3 linked regions of the Drosophila melanogaster genome follow. The protein of the gene in region 2 interacts with the protein of the main gene of each other region in a pairwise test. Each region holds a gene or a part of one and is shown on either strand. Other genes may lie near its edges. The genes, in order: CG30039, CG15784 and CG42758.

Region 1 (3,124 bases), on a different chromosome or scaffold from region 2:
TGACGTTTGCAGGTCCTGGCTAGCTGATTGCGATGGCCTACTAACACAGTTCAAAGCTCCCGGGTGACCCAAATTCGTGACGACAGCGCCCCACAGCAAGGGTCTCTTTGTGGGCGTGGCCCTGGCTTTGATGAATTGAATCCAGCGTCCTGTGGCCTTTGCATACTCAATATCCCCTACTAACACAGCACATCCCTTTTTCGGTTCCCATTCCTTGGCTGCTCTTTTAATTTGCGCCCTCGACGATTTTCATCCTGCTGGCAGGGGAAAAAAGAAAAATCATGGGGCGAAAAGTGCCCAAAAATATTAAAAATGTAACTGAAAATCGCTTTGACTGCTTTTGATGTGTATGATGGCATTTACGGTGGGCTGCCTGGCCAAGAAATTGTCACACACACTTGAGTTTGTAATTCTTTTGATGTTGTCCTGCAGATTAAGAGGAAGTGCCGGAAGAGGAAATGGAAACTTAATCGAAAGCAATCTGAGCTTCGAGCGAACCGATTTTGGTCCTTTGAATAAAAAAAGACTCTTATTGAAAATTATTCAGTAGTCAGGCATTTTATTTAACAAGTCTAGTACGAATAATTTAGATAAAAAGTTATACAATTAGTTAGAAAATTACGTTCAAGTAAAAATCTTAAGACTTCATTTCAAGTAAATTTTGTACGTTTGTTTCCTAAACGTAGACAACAATTTTTAACACGGTAATTTCGAACGCTTCATAGGTTGCTTGCGGTAAGCACCACCAAGTACTTTTCTGGACGAGATCCGTTTCACCTTGAACAATCGACCATCTATCTCGGCACATGAGAAAAACTTGGTGCGGGCCGGAAAATAGATCGTGACAGTTCCGCACTTGGTACAGTTCACAGCGCGATCTCCGTAAAGAGTGCTTTTCCGTTTATGGATCCTTGCCCTTTTCCTTTTTTTCACTGATCTCGATGCTTTGCATTCTGGCTGCTTATATTTATGTTCCCGATTTAAAATCCTCGAACTACTGCAGCGCTGGGACTCTTGAACCTCTTTGGTTTCTTTCACATTTTCCTCAACGTTTTCAGGTGATTGCGGTAATGGAGGACCTCCTTCATCAGTTGCGGCTTGTGTTTCTACACTTGGAAGCTATTCAATTGCGTGAAATTCGTGTGTACGTTTGTGATGTGTCAATACTCACCGGAAAATTTTCTTGGCTCATTGTTTTGTGATATTTATCATCTACGACTTATCGTTAGAACGTGTGATTCGTAGAAAGGATTGTTTGTAAATGAGGGCTCCCAGTGTTTTAAGTAAGACAATAGAATTCAATGGGTCCTGAGTTTTCATGAATCGAGAATTTCCAGGCTGCCACGTTGTATATCTTGTTTCAAATCTTTCTAAATCTTAGAAAGAGCTGCAAAATTCGATGTTTACCAATAGCTTGCTAATTCAACTTGAGCTCTATGCTCTTTTGTAGCGATCCGAAACACTCGACAGTGGATTAATTTCGGTGGAAATCAAGTCAGGTATCACCACTTTATTTTGCAAAGCATTTGACCCCCCCTTACTTATACACAAATCCACCGTCTATGACGCTTGTTGCATGCACACACACGCAAACGAACGAGGACTATATGTCCTCCAAGCACAAATGTCAAACGTCTCACAAGAAAGAGGCGGCGGTGGCGGCGGAAAGTGGGCGTGGCAGGGTAAACAACATATCGAGTGAAGTCCTGCTTGGCTCGACTTACTAACGAGTCGCTTTTCCCCCAAACGAGGACATAATTCTCAACAATTTTTGCTGCTCGCCTTTTTATTTTCACATATACATATACTTTACACACATTTCCCCCAAAATAAAAGTCAAGGATAGGGTAGCGGGTGGCCAGGATGTCCTTAGCGAAACGGTGAAGGGAAGGGAAGGGATTGCAGTGGCAACCACTCGCCCCGGGCTGTTGATTTTTATTCAAGAGTGTGCGTGTGTGTGTGTGTGTTGCACATAAACAAGACGCTGTGTAATAGATGCCGCAATGGGCATTACTAATGCGCCCCGTGGCACTTTTGCCCATATTTGCGCCAGACGGGCATGGTGCAGGGGGCAGGGGGGTGGTGAAATCAACGTGCTTTGTGGGCGGCAAGGGCGGTCCATAATTGTGCAGTTAGAGCCGCTGGCAGCCGCAAACTGGTGCTTAGATTGCCTCATTTGGATGTTTGCTTTCGCCATCCGGAAGTCATTATGGCTGCGGATATGGGTATGCTCACCTACACCACGAGAATCATTATTCAAGCGAAATTAGTGGATTTTATAAAATCGAAAAGAAAATTATTAAATTATTATTATTATTATCATTACTATGTTATACATAGGTTGTAGCATACAACATAACTTAATGATAGAATTATTATTTTCGTACCTGGTAAATATTGTTTCTACTCACATTAACTTTAGTTTTTCAGCTAAATGGATATTAAGTACTTACTACATTTTTTTCTTGAGTGCAGCAAGCCCTGGGACAGTGAACAAGCTGTCAGTAATGAAAATTCAGACAGGTTTGGCAAATACAAATATGAAATTATCCGTTTTGTTTATCGTGATGCAGTTGCTGGTGCTGCTGGCTGCACAGGCGATTGACCTTTCGCCGCCGCCGCAGCAGCAGCAGCAGCAGCAGGGTGCAGATGTGGCAGCCAGCTTAAAGGAGCTGCAAGGGGAGATGGCGCATCCATTGGGCAGCCAGTGCATCAGCGATTGCCTCGCCGAGAAGGGCAACCTAGTGCCGGATCAACTGGGTGAATGTCAGCAGGTCGAGCAGCAGTTCGACTGTACACTGTACTGCATGTTTGATGTAGAGCCGCGCTATTAAGCCATTAACCGATATAGTGCAAATACGCACAGGCTTGCTGGCCATTAAACCAATTATGGCCAGGACCGTTGCACGTAGGTATCCTTACACAGGAAATACACAAAATAATGAAGTATGCCATTAAGGGGGGGAAATGTAATTGCTTGTTACATGGCGGCAAGGTCGATGCCAGTGCTTTTTTTCTCTCATTATTTTCCATTTCACATTTATTTTAATTTAATTAAAATGTTTGCCATTTTCTTTTATACATTTTTGGTTTGCCCCGCATCGAAATGCTATTTTTTTCCATT
Region 2 (5,170 bases):
GGCTAACTATTCAGTTGTTAACACAATAAAGTTAAAAGGTGTATTTATTTGGACATATTACATTTAATTACAAGAATGCTGGATCTCTGATTGTCAGGCTTTCCCCTCCGCAGCTGAGAACAGTTGCGACCACAAACTGTACCCACTTGAAGGAGAGAATGCAGTCAACATTCTGCGTCCGCGATTCATCCACAGGTTGTTACAATATAAACCCAACCAATTAATCTAAAATGGGTTAATTTGCGAGTTTTGCAGTGTCAAAACAATAATATTTAACCAGGTGAAAAACCTATAATTTGATAAGCCTATCAAGCTTGTTATCGCTGCCATTGCATTGTCATTTGGTTGGGGAAAAACCTCTGCAGGAATACACCAATCTTATCGCGGTGCGTAATGTCCATAAGCCCCCCATTCGCATTTCCCCAACTTAAGCAACACAAATAGAGTAATTACTCACTCGTAATGTATCTAGTTTAAAGTGTAGTTTTAATTCATTTCCGCCAGCTGCATTAATAATGCAATTGAGTCATTTGCAATCGCACTCAGAAAGTAATGGGTATTATATAGTTGAGCTTAACGAATGCACTTGTACCGTGGAGAAGAAAATAAATAAATTAAGTTTCCATAAAAAATACGAAGTATATAGATTTGAGTTTTGTTTTTTTTTTATTTAATTTCATTTTTTTAGATGTTTTTTTAATGATTTTTTATAGAATAATAGAATAGAAGCTTCTGGGTGTTAAATGTATAGTAATATTGAAGGTTATATGTGTGGGAGGTTGTATTGAAGGAATCTTAATGCATCTTAAACGCTGGCTGCGATTGCCTAATCACGTCCATGTCCATGTCCATGGCCATGTCCATGTCCATGTCCATGCCCATGTCCATGAGCGCGTTTTCCGTGCTTCTTTTTGCCCTTCTTGCGCTCCTCCCTCTCGACTTTGGGGAAACTCTCCTGCTTTTCCTTGCGGCAGTGGGATCGGGACAGAGAACGACTGCGACGACCTGGAGGGAACTCAGCTGGTGGTGGTCGATGATGGGCAATAGGAAACTCCGGACGGGGCTGGTGCTCAAAACGCGGTCCTTCACCGGATTCTCTTTGGGGAACGTCAAAGAATGGTCCGAATTGGGGGCCATGTCCATGTTCGACAAATGGACCATGATGTGGACCAAAGTGATGGCCATGGTGTCCGCCGTGATGGGGACGGTAACCTTCATGGCGCGGACCAAAGTGGTGGTGGCCATGTGGAGGTCCGAAGTGGTGCCCGCGTCGATGGGGAATCTTCTGCACTTCGCCATCGGAGCTGGAGCTGGAGCTGGAGCTGGAGCTGGAGCTGGAGCTGGAGCTCGATGAGGAGCTGGATGAGGAGCGCTGCTGTCTTTTCTTCTCCTTGCCCTTTCCCTTGCCCTTGCACTTCTGCCTCTTCTTCTCATCCTCCGAGGAAGAACTGGAGCTGGAACTGGAACTGGACCTCGGCTTGCGGCAGTGCTTCCTCTCCAGCGAACCGGATGTTGAACGGGAAAGTGATCTCTCTAGTCGACGGCCATGTCGTGGACGCGTTTGGCCATATCCGTATCCGTATCCTGGTCCGAATCCGAATCCGAGATCTCCACGACAGTCGCGCCTAGATAGTCTAGGCAGCGAGTGGCTCCTCCGATTGGCCGCGGCATTGTCCAGGGCCCACGGCAGGCCCATCCATTGAAAAAACTGGGACTGATCATGCCAAGGTCCGCGAAAGGATCTCCGATCGAAGTCAAAGGGAGAGGGCCCAGCGTGAGGTCCAAAGTGTGGTCCAAAATGGGGACCAAAGTGGTGACCATGCGGATGGTGGTGGTGCGGCCGTCCATGATGTCCATGTCGGCCATGATGATGCGGCCCGTGACCATGTTTGTGGCCATGCTTGCGACCATGCTTGTGGCCAAAACCGTGGCCAAGACGACGACCGAAGCCGTGATGGCCATGTGGTCCTCGGCGCCATGGATTGCTGATCCAGCCGTAACCGTTATAGAATACCTCTTCGTCCTCGGAGCTGGAGCTCGAACTGGAGGAGCTGGAACTGGATGAGCTGGAGCTGGAAGAGCTGGAGCTGGAGGTGTTGGAGGGCTCCTCGCCAGCCGCCGTCTGCTCTTCCGCCTGTTTTTTGGCCTGTTGCTTGGCCAGCTTCTTGGCCTTCTTCTTGTCCTTCTTGGCCTTCTTCTTCAGCTGCTTCTTGGTCCTTTTGGTGCCCTGTTCCTGCTCCTGCTGCCGACACCTGGCCTCCTCCTCGGCCAGCAGGATCATGGCCTGCTCCAGCATGCGCTGCACCTTGGTCACCTTCTTCAGGGCTTTGGTGTATCGCTTGGAACTGGCTGGTGGCATCCTGGCCTCCTCCTCCACCTTGGAGGTCGTATCCTCCACAAAGTCAATATCGCAGTCGATCAGCTCTTGGGAAACACGCTCCCGATCCTGATCCTGCTGCTGCTGCTGCTGCAGTCTGGACAACTCGCTCATGTTGATAGTATCTTCAATGCGATTTACCTTCACTGGTGTAATACTAGTTGCTTTTTTGCTTGGTTTAACGGTTTAGAGTTCGCTGGGATACGCTATGCCACAAAGCTGAAAGCTTGCAAACTGATGCCATTCGCTTGCCGGCCGGCACTTTTTATACGCTCAGCGGCGTCGGCGGTTGGCGGCGCCAGCGGAGCGGCAAGGCGGCAAAGGGGCAAAGGGGCAAGGAAGCGGTGAGAACGCCCCACTGGTGGAGCACTGAAATGCGTCGCAGAACAAAAACGGGGAACAGTGGAACCTCAATACAAATTAAACATTTCAATAGACAACAGAAAAAGCCCTTCGCAAATTTATAGGTGTGTGAATCTTGGCCTTAAAATTCAATCCATGAAATATAAAACGTATCTAAATAAACAAAATCTGCAATCTAAATGTGCATCTAACATATTCTAAAAACTGGCGCTAAATAACAAAAAAAAAATAATATTATTTGCAACACATTGATTGAGACTAACGTGAGTGCGGTTGATCTAGGTCCACGTTAGGGAGGCTCGTCTGTAGCTCGCTGCTCTCTCACCAATACCAACGCGCGCGTTTGTTTTCACAATTTGCTATCGAGTACGTGGATTTTGCGTCGTTCTCCGATTATCAAAACAAAACAAAACAAAGCTAAATAAAACCGGAATAACGCTTCAAAAAAAGCTTTGGCAGTGGGGAATTTTTTGCAAGAGTTTCGTCATGTGATGAAATAGCTCCACAAAACGCAGCACAAGAAAAAACTAAACAAATGATTCAAATTAACGAAATTAAGTCTATGCTGAATTTCGCCAGACACTGCAAATATCGAAATGGATAAAGAACAGTCTGGAAAATGGAATTGGTGGTCTTCCTGGCAAAGTTCACAGCCCAAAAAGGAACCGAACTCACTTTGCAGGACATTTAGGCATCGGGGATCAGGGATCAGGGATCATTCGTTACATTCTCAGATGGATATGCTCATAATGCTCCATGATTAGTTATCACTCATGCACTAAGTAGATAATCCATCTGTAAATGACATTTTTCATATTGGAACTTAAATTCCAATGCAACAAAAATTCAACACAGGCTGTTTTTTTATTTTATATATTTATATTGAAAAAATACACTTAAAACTATTTAATTTATTGCATAGAGATCAGCACATCACCACAACATCGATTCTTTTGATAAGTAGAATTTCAAAATTATATATAAATTATATATATTATATACATTTATATTTGCACCAATAACACATCAATATATTTTTGAAGGTCTTCTTTACGAATTTCACCACAAATCAGAAAATACTGATTACGCATATGATTTTTTATTTATGTTTTAAAAATTTCATAAATATTTGGTAAACGGAAAAACGTAAGAAATCACAGATTTAAAAAGGGGTATTCAAAACATCACACTTCTCATACGCAAAATGGGACTTCACATTATAGGCAATATTTGGAACTTTTTGTTTGAAAACAATACGAAATATATTTATTTATTCTTCAATTTCATTATCATTCACAGAATTTTAATATGGCAGCAGGGTGTTTTGGTGAGATTTCTTGAGAAACCCATATCAGGGGAGCACTTATTCATAAAATGGGAGTAAACATAGTTCGGCAACTATGTATGTTTGTAAATTTCATGGGACCTCTTGGGACTTGAACACGAAAACAAAAAATGAGTATACACTTGAGTTTTCATTTTTGCATCAACTTTATCACAACGCAGCTCAACGACTGAGGCATCAGATCTTTGGATCTTGTTTATAGCATTTCCAGTTTCTCAGAAACTGGAGAACCGTTTGGGGGGCAGGGAAATATGAGTCACATAGTATATACTTATGTATATTGGTTGGGGTATGGGCAACTTATGTAAGGCGATCGCAATAGGGCACAATATCATCCCATAGGGATTGTTTAGGATATATGTATATATATCCATGAAATGCGATTCTTTTATAAGAGAACGGAATCTCTGGCACTGGGCACTGGGATATACTTTTCTTTTCTTGACTTTTCATATTTTATTAATTCTCAATGACTTTTGATATCTTGTGAACACGTTGCGAAAAAACGCTCCGATTTGTTCGGCCGATGTCGCCAAATGAAAGCCCCACGTAAGCGAGATAGTGCCACTCCATTGCTCCACAAAGTTTTTGGCGAGAAAGCTTAAAGCTTTCGTTCACTTGATAATGAACGAAACTCGGAGAGAAATAGAGAGCGAGTAGGGTTGCCAGAGTGTTAAAGTATTAAACTGATCGTAAGCTTTGTTGAACCCGAAACTCAACACATTCCGAAATCGATTTGGATTCGGAACAATCGACTGTATCGTAAACGCGAATTTATCAAAATGTAATAATATAATTTTAATTTTGGAAGCAGAGCTCTCTTAGGTATTGAAACTATTTAGTCTTTTGAAATTATTTCACGGCATATACATATATAATATTTATTTGTTACAAATTGAAATCATTAAATTAATTACATCTAGATCCCACAGATAACCTTAAGATTAGGCAGATTTTGGGCGTTTCGGCAATATCGTTGCCATCCTGCCCAATGACGAAAACCATCCGAGGTTTGGATGCGCTTGGCGCAAGTAACCGACTCCCTTAAATTTTCGTCCAAAAAATCTAAAAATATTTATATTTAG
Region 3 (3,102 bases), on a different chromosome or scaffold from region 2:
ATCTTTATAGCCGGGAAAGAGAGAGGCTGAGGTAGCGCACACATGATTTGGATTCGGTCCTGAGTATGACATTTGTTTTATGCCTCGTTCAGGTTGCGGCAGCATAAAAACCGCAAAAGAAATCCGCAACAGAAGGCAACCTCGGAAGGCCGCCAACATGAATTTGGCCTAAAACACATAAGCGAAGCGAAACTGCCACGCGATAAAAGTTAAATATGCAAAGATGAAAATCTATAATTTTTTATTAGCCCTGATCCCCGGGCAAGTGCGTCCTTATGCGGCTTTTCCTTTTATGCCGCACTGGCTAATTTGCCCTTTTGGCCCAATTTGTTGCGGTTCTTTCCACGACGCCACGGGAATTTTTGCGAAATTTTTACGATTTGCGATTTGCACGAATTATGCCAATGTTCTTGCATACTTTTTTTATAGTTTTACAATATGGCGTCACAGTTGCGGTATCAACATTGCATTTTCTCGTATTTCTTATTCAATTAAGGTTACACTTGGCAGGTTAAGGGACGAAGTTTATAAAATCTTTTACATACTGCGAAGGATTAAATAATTCTATCGAAAAAGGGGATAAGGTGACACAAATAAGAAGTTTTTTTTATATATTTCCCACTTCTCAGAATCAGCTGCAAACAACACGAAATAATTCAATTTTTAATTTAATTTGAATTTTTTTTACAATTGATTTGTTCACAACGACTTTCCACTATCCATATTTCATCAGCACTTGGATCGACAACAGGTCATGCAAGCACAACAGCAGGATCGCCCGAGATCGGGAGCCAGCCATGAGAACCAGGAAGGATCCAGACAGGACTCACACCACGGACCACAGCAGGTTTCGGGGAATATCCCACAGCAGGAGGATAAGCAGGCGGCACAGCCATTCGAGCATGACCCACATGGTCCGCAGCAGGACCCGGATTTGCAGCAGGATTCGGATGTGCAGCAGGATCTGGGACTACAGCGAGGTGGTGGAGTGCAGAAGGTTCTGTAGCGAGATCCGGGCTTTCGACAAGATCTGGTTGCACCGGTCTTACAACGGGAACTGGAAACTGGAACTCGACATCCAAACCGTGGAACTTGCATGCACATGGTCCACAGATATTTTTGAGACTCGTTGGTGGAAGGAAGTGTAACAGCGGAGCTTATACACAATTTTTTATTCTAAAAGATATCCCGAAGAAACTGTATATTTTCGCCTTATACATTCATCGCTGATTGTCCAGGCCTAAGTGGTTATCAACTTATCTAATCGGAAGATTTTTGGCAGATTATGAAGTTTATGACTTACATGAAAATACACAAACGAAAATAGCTAGCTTCGTCGGGTTTTCGGAACACTTTCGCAACGATAAGTTGATGGAGAGTCAAAATATATTTCAAATTACTAAACTATATTTAAATACTTTAGTTTACTAATTAAAAATACTGAAACAGAAAACGTAGAAAAAAACTTATTTTCATAATATTTAAACGAAATCATTCAACTGATGATCGTTACAAATCATTTAATATTTTAAAAATACTGTCATGTTGTATGAAATTTTTGTGACTCCTAAAACGGGTTATTTAACACTTTGCCTGACTTTACAACCCTCGAATGGAAGACCACTTTAGTTAATGGTAAAGCACATAAATGAAATCATAAATAAAAGTCGCAACTTTGATTTACTTGCGTTGACAACAGCACAACATTAAATTAAGTGCAGTAAACCGACCAAAAAAAGCAAGGAGGATGAAGTCAAAGCTGGAGAAGCCCAATGGATAACCCCATGGTACCCTTCCCTTGGGTCTAACGAAGCGTGAATTAATTGGGATGGGTAAGTGGAAATTGCGCATTAGCCTCGCCTGCCGGTGGATGCAACCAAAGCGAAAGCACACAGATACTCAGGATACGCACCATTCCAAAGACGACAGGGAACAGGACAAACAAGGAATCGAAACTAGCCATTCTAGCTGGAAATCGAATTTTGTCACTGCAAGTGGTTGGAGATCAAATAGAACCAACTAATGAATCCACACGACAATTAGAACATCAGTTTGCTATATTTCAGGCACTACGCAGAACACCAAATGGATCATGAAGAGGTATGTAATATTTAATAATATTACTGAATAATATTGCATTTAAAATTAAAGCCTATTTGCAATCTTTTTACCCGTATATTCATTTAAGTTTATAGCACTAAAAATGTAGGAAAAGTGCTTGCAATTGGAACATTAAATTGGCATTCAGTGCGGCCCATAAACGTTGGCAATTAAAATCTTATTTTCGCTTATTACACTTTCACAGGTGTGTGCCACATCCCAACCCCTCACTGCATCACGCCAATAAACACGTCTAAAAATTTTAGCCAAAGAATTTGTCGCCTGGCTCAGGCCACCTGTTCCCCTAAAAAAAATGTGTTTCTTTTCTTTTTTTTTCCATTTTTGGGTAATTGAATCATTTTAGCGCCATTTATTTTGTTCAGGATTGCGCAGGTTTTTGGGAATGGAAGGAGTCGAGGTTGCTTTCAGTTCGCGTGACATTTGTTAAACAATTTCTATTTCGAAAATGAAACAAGCGCGAATGCTCGCGGATGGGAGGCACATAAATAATAATGCGTTAAATTTATGCGCTGATTAATGTGGAGCAGTCAATCTCCACCAGCTTTCGGAACAGAGGACGAAGGATTTCACCACCCACTTGGCCAAGTTCTCAGGTGTGACCAGTTCAGAGGGGTGGAAATTAAATCTACAGTTCATATGAAAACTCGATTGAGCGCGTAAAGTAAAATATACATAAATCTAAATTTATTAGAATGAATTAAATTAGTAAAATAGAATTTAAATTCAAGAGCATATTTTGCCAAAATCCCTAATATCTTCAACACGCGAATTTCCGAAATAGCATAACTTTTGCCCAAATGAGTTTTATTGCTAATTTATAAAAAGAAGCAACGCAAAAATATATAATGAACTCCAATGAAAACTTCCAAAAATTTGTATGATCGTTGTATCTATTTCTATAAAATTGGCTTAGTTGCTCATAGTAACTCTGTTTATATCGTTTGTGGTTACCGAAAAGCCTCCAATAGAATTATTTTTCCA

Evidence for each region.
Region 1: the proteins of CG15784 (region 2) and CG30039 interact in a two-hybrid assay, tested with the Drosophila melanogaster proteins (one large-scale study listed by BioGRID).
Region 3: the proteins of CG15784 (region 2) and CG42758 interact in a two-hybrid assay, tested with the Drosophila melanogaster proteins (one large-scale study listed by BioGRID).

The regions. Positions count from the first base shown.
Region 1 is NT_033778.4:12,050,436-12,053,559, forward strand, and holds CG30039 (uncharacterized protein), read right to left. Parts: upstream 1,321-3,124; 5' UTR 1,193-1,320; coding exon 1,172-1,192; intron 1,120-1,171; coding exon 697-1,119; 3' UTR 542-696; downstream 1-541. Other genes in the region: CG44314 (uncharacterized protein), read left to right, coding at 2,541-2,834.
Region 2 is NC_004354.4:5,428,001-5,433,170, reverse strand, and holds CG15784 (uncharacterized protein), read right to left. Parts: upstream 3,601-5,170; 5' UTR 2,492-3,600; coding exon 827-2,491; 3' UTR 645-826; downstream 1-644. Other genes in the region: CG16756 (uncharacterized protein), read right to left, coding at 5,005-5,150.
Region 3 is NT_037436.4:14,565,685-14,568,786, reverse strand, and holds CG42758 (uncharacterized protein), read right to left. Parts: upstream 1,348-3,102; 5' UTR 1,304-1,347; intron 1,241-1,303; 5' UTR 1,105-1,240; coding exon 730-1,104; 3' UTR 654-729; downstream 1-653.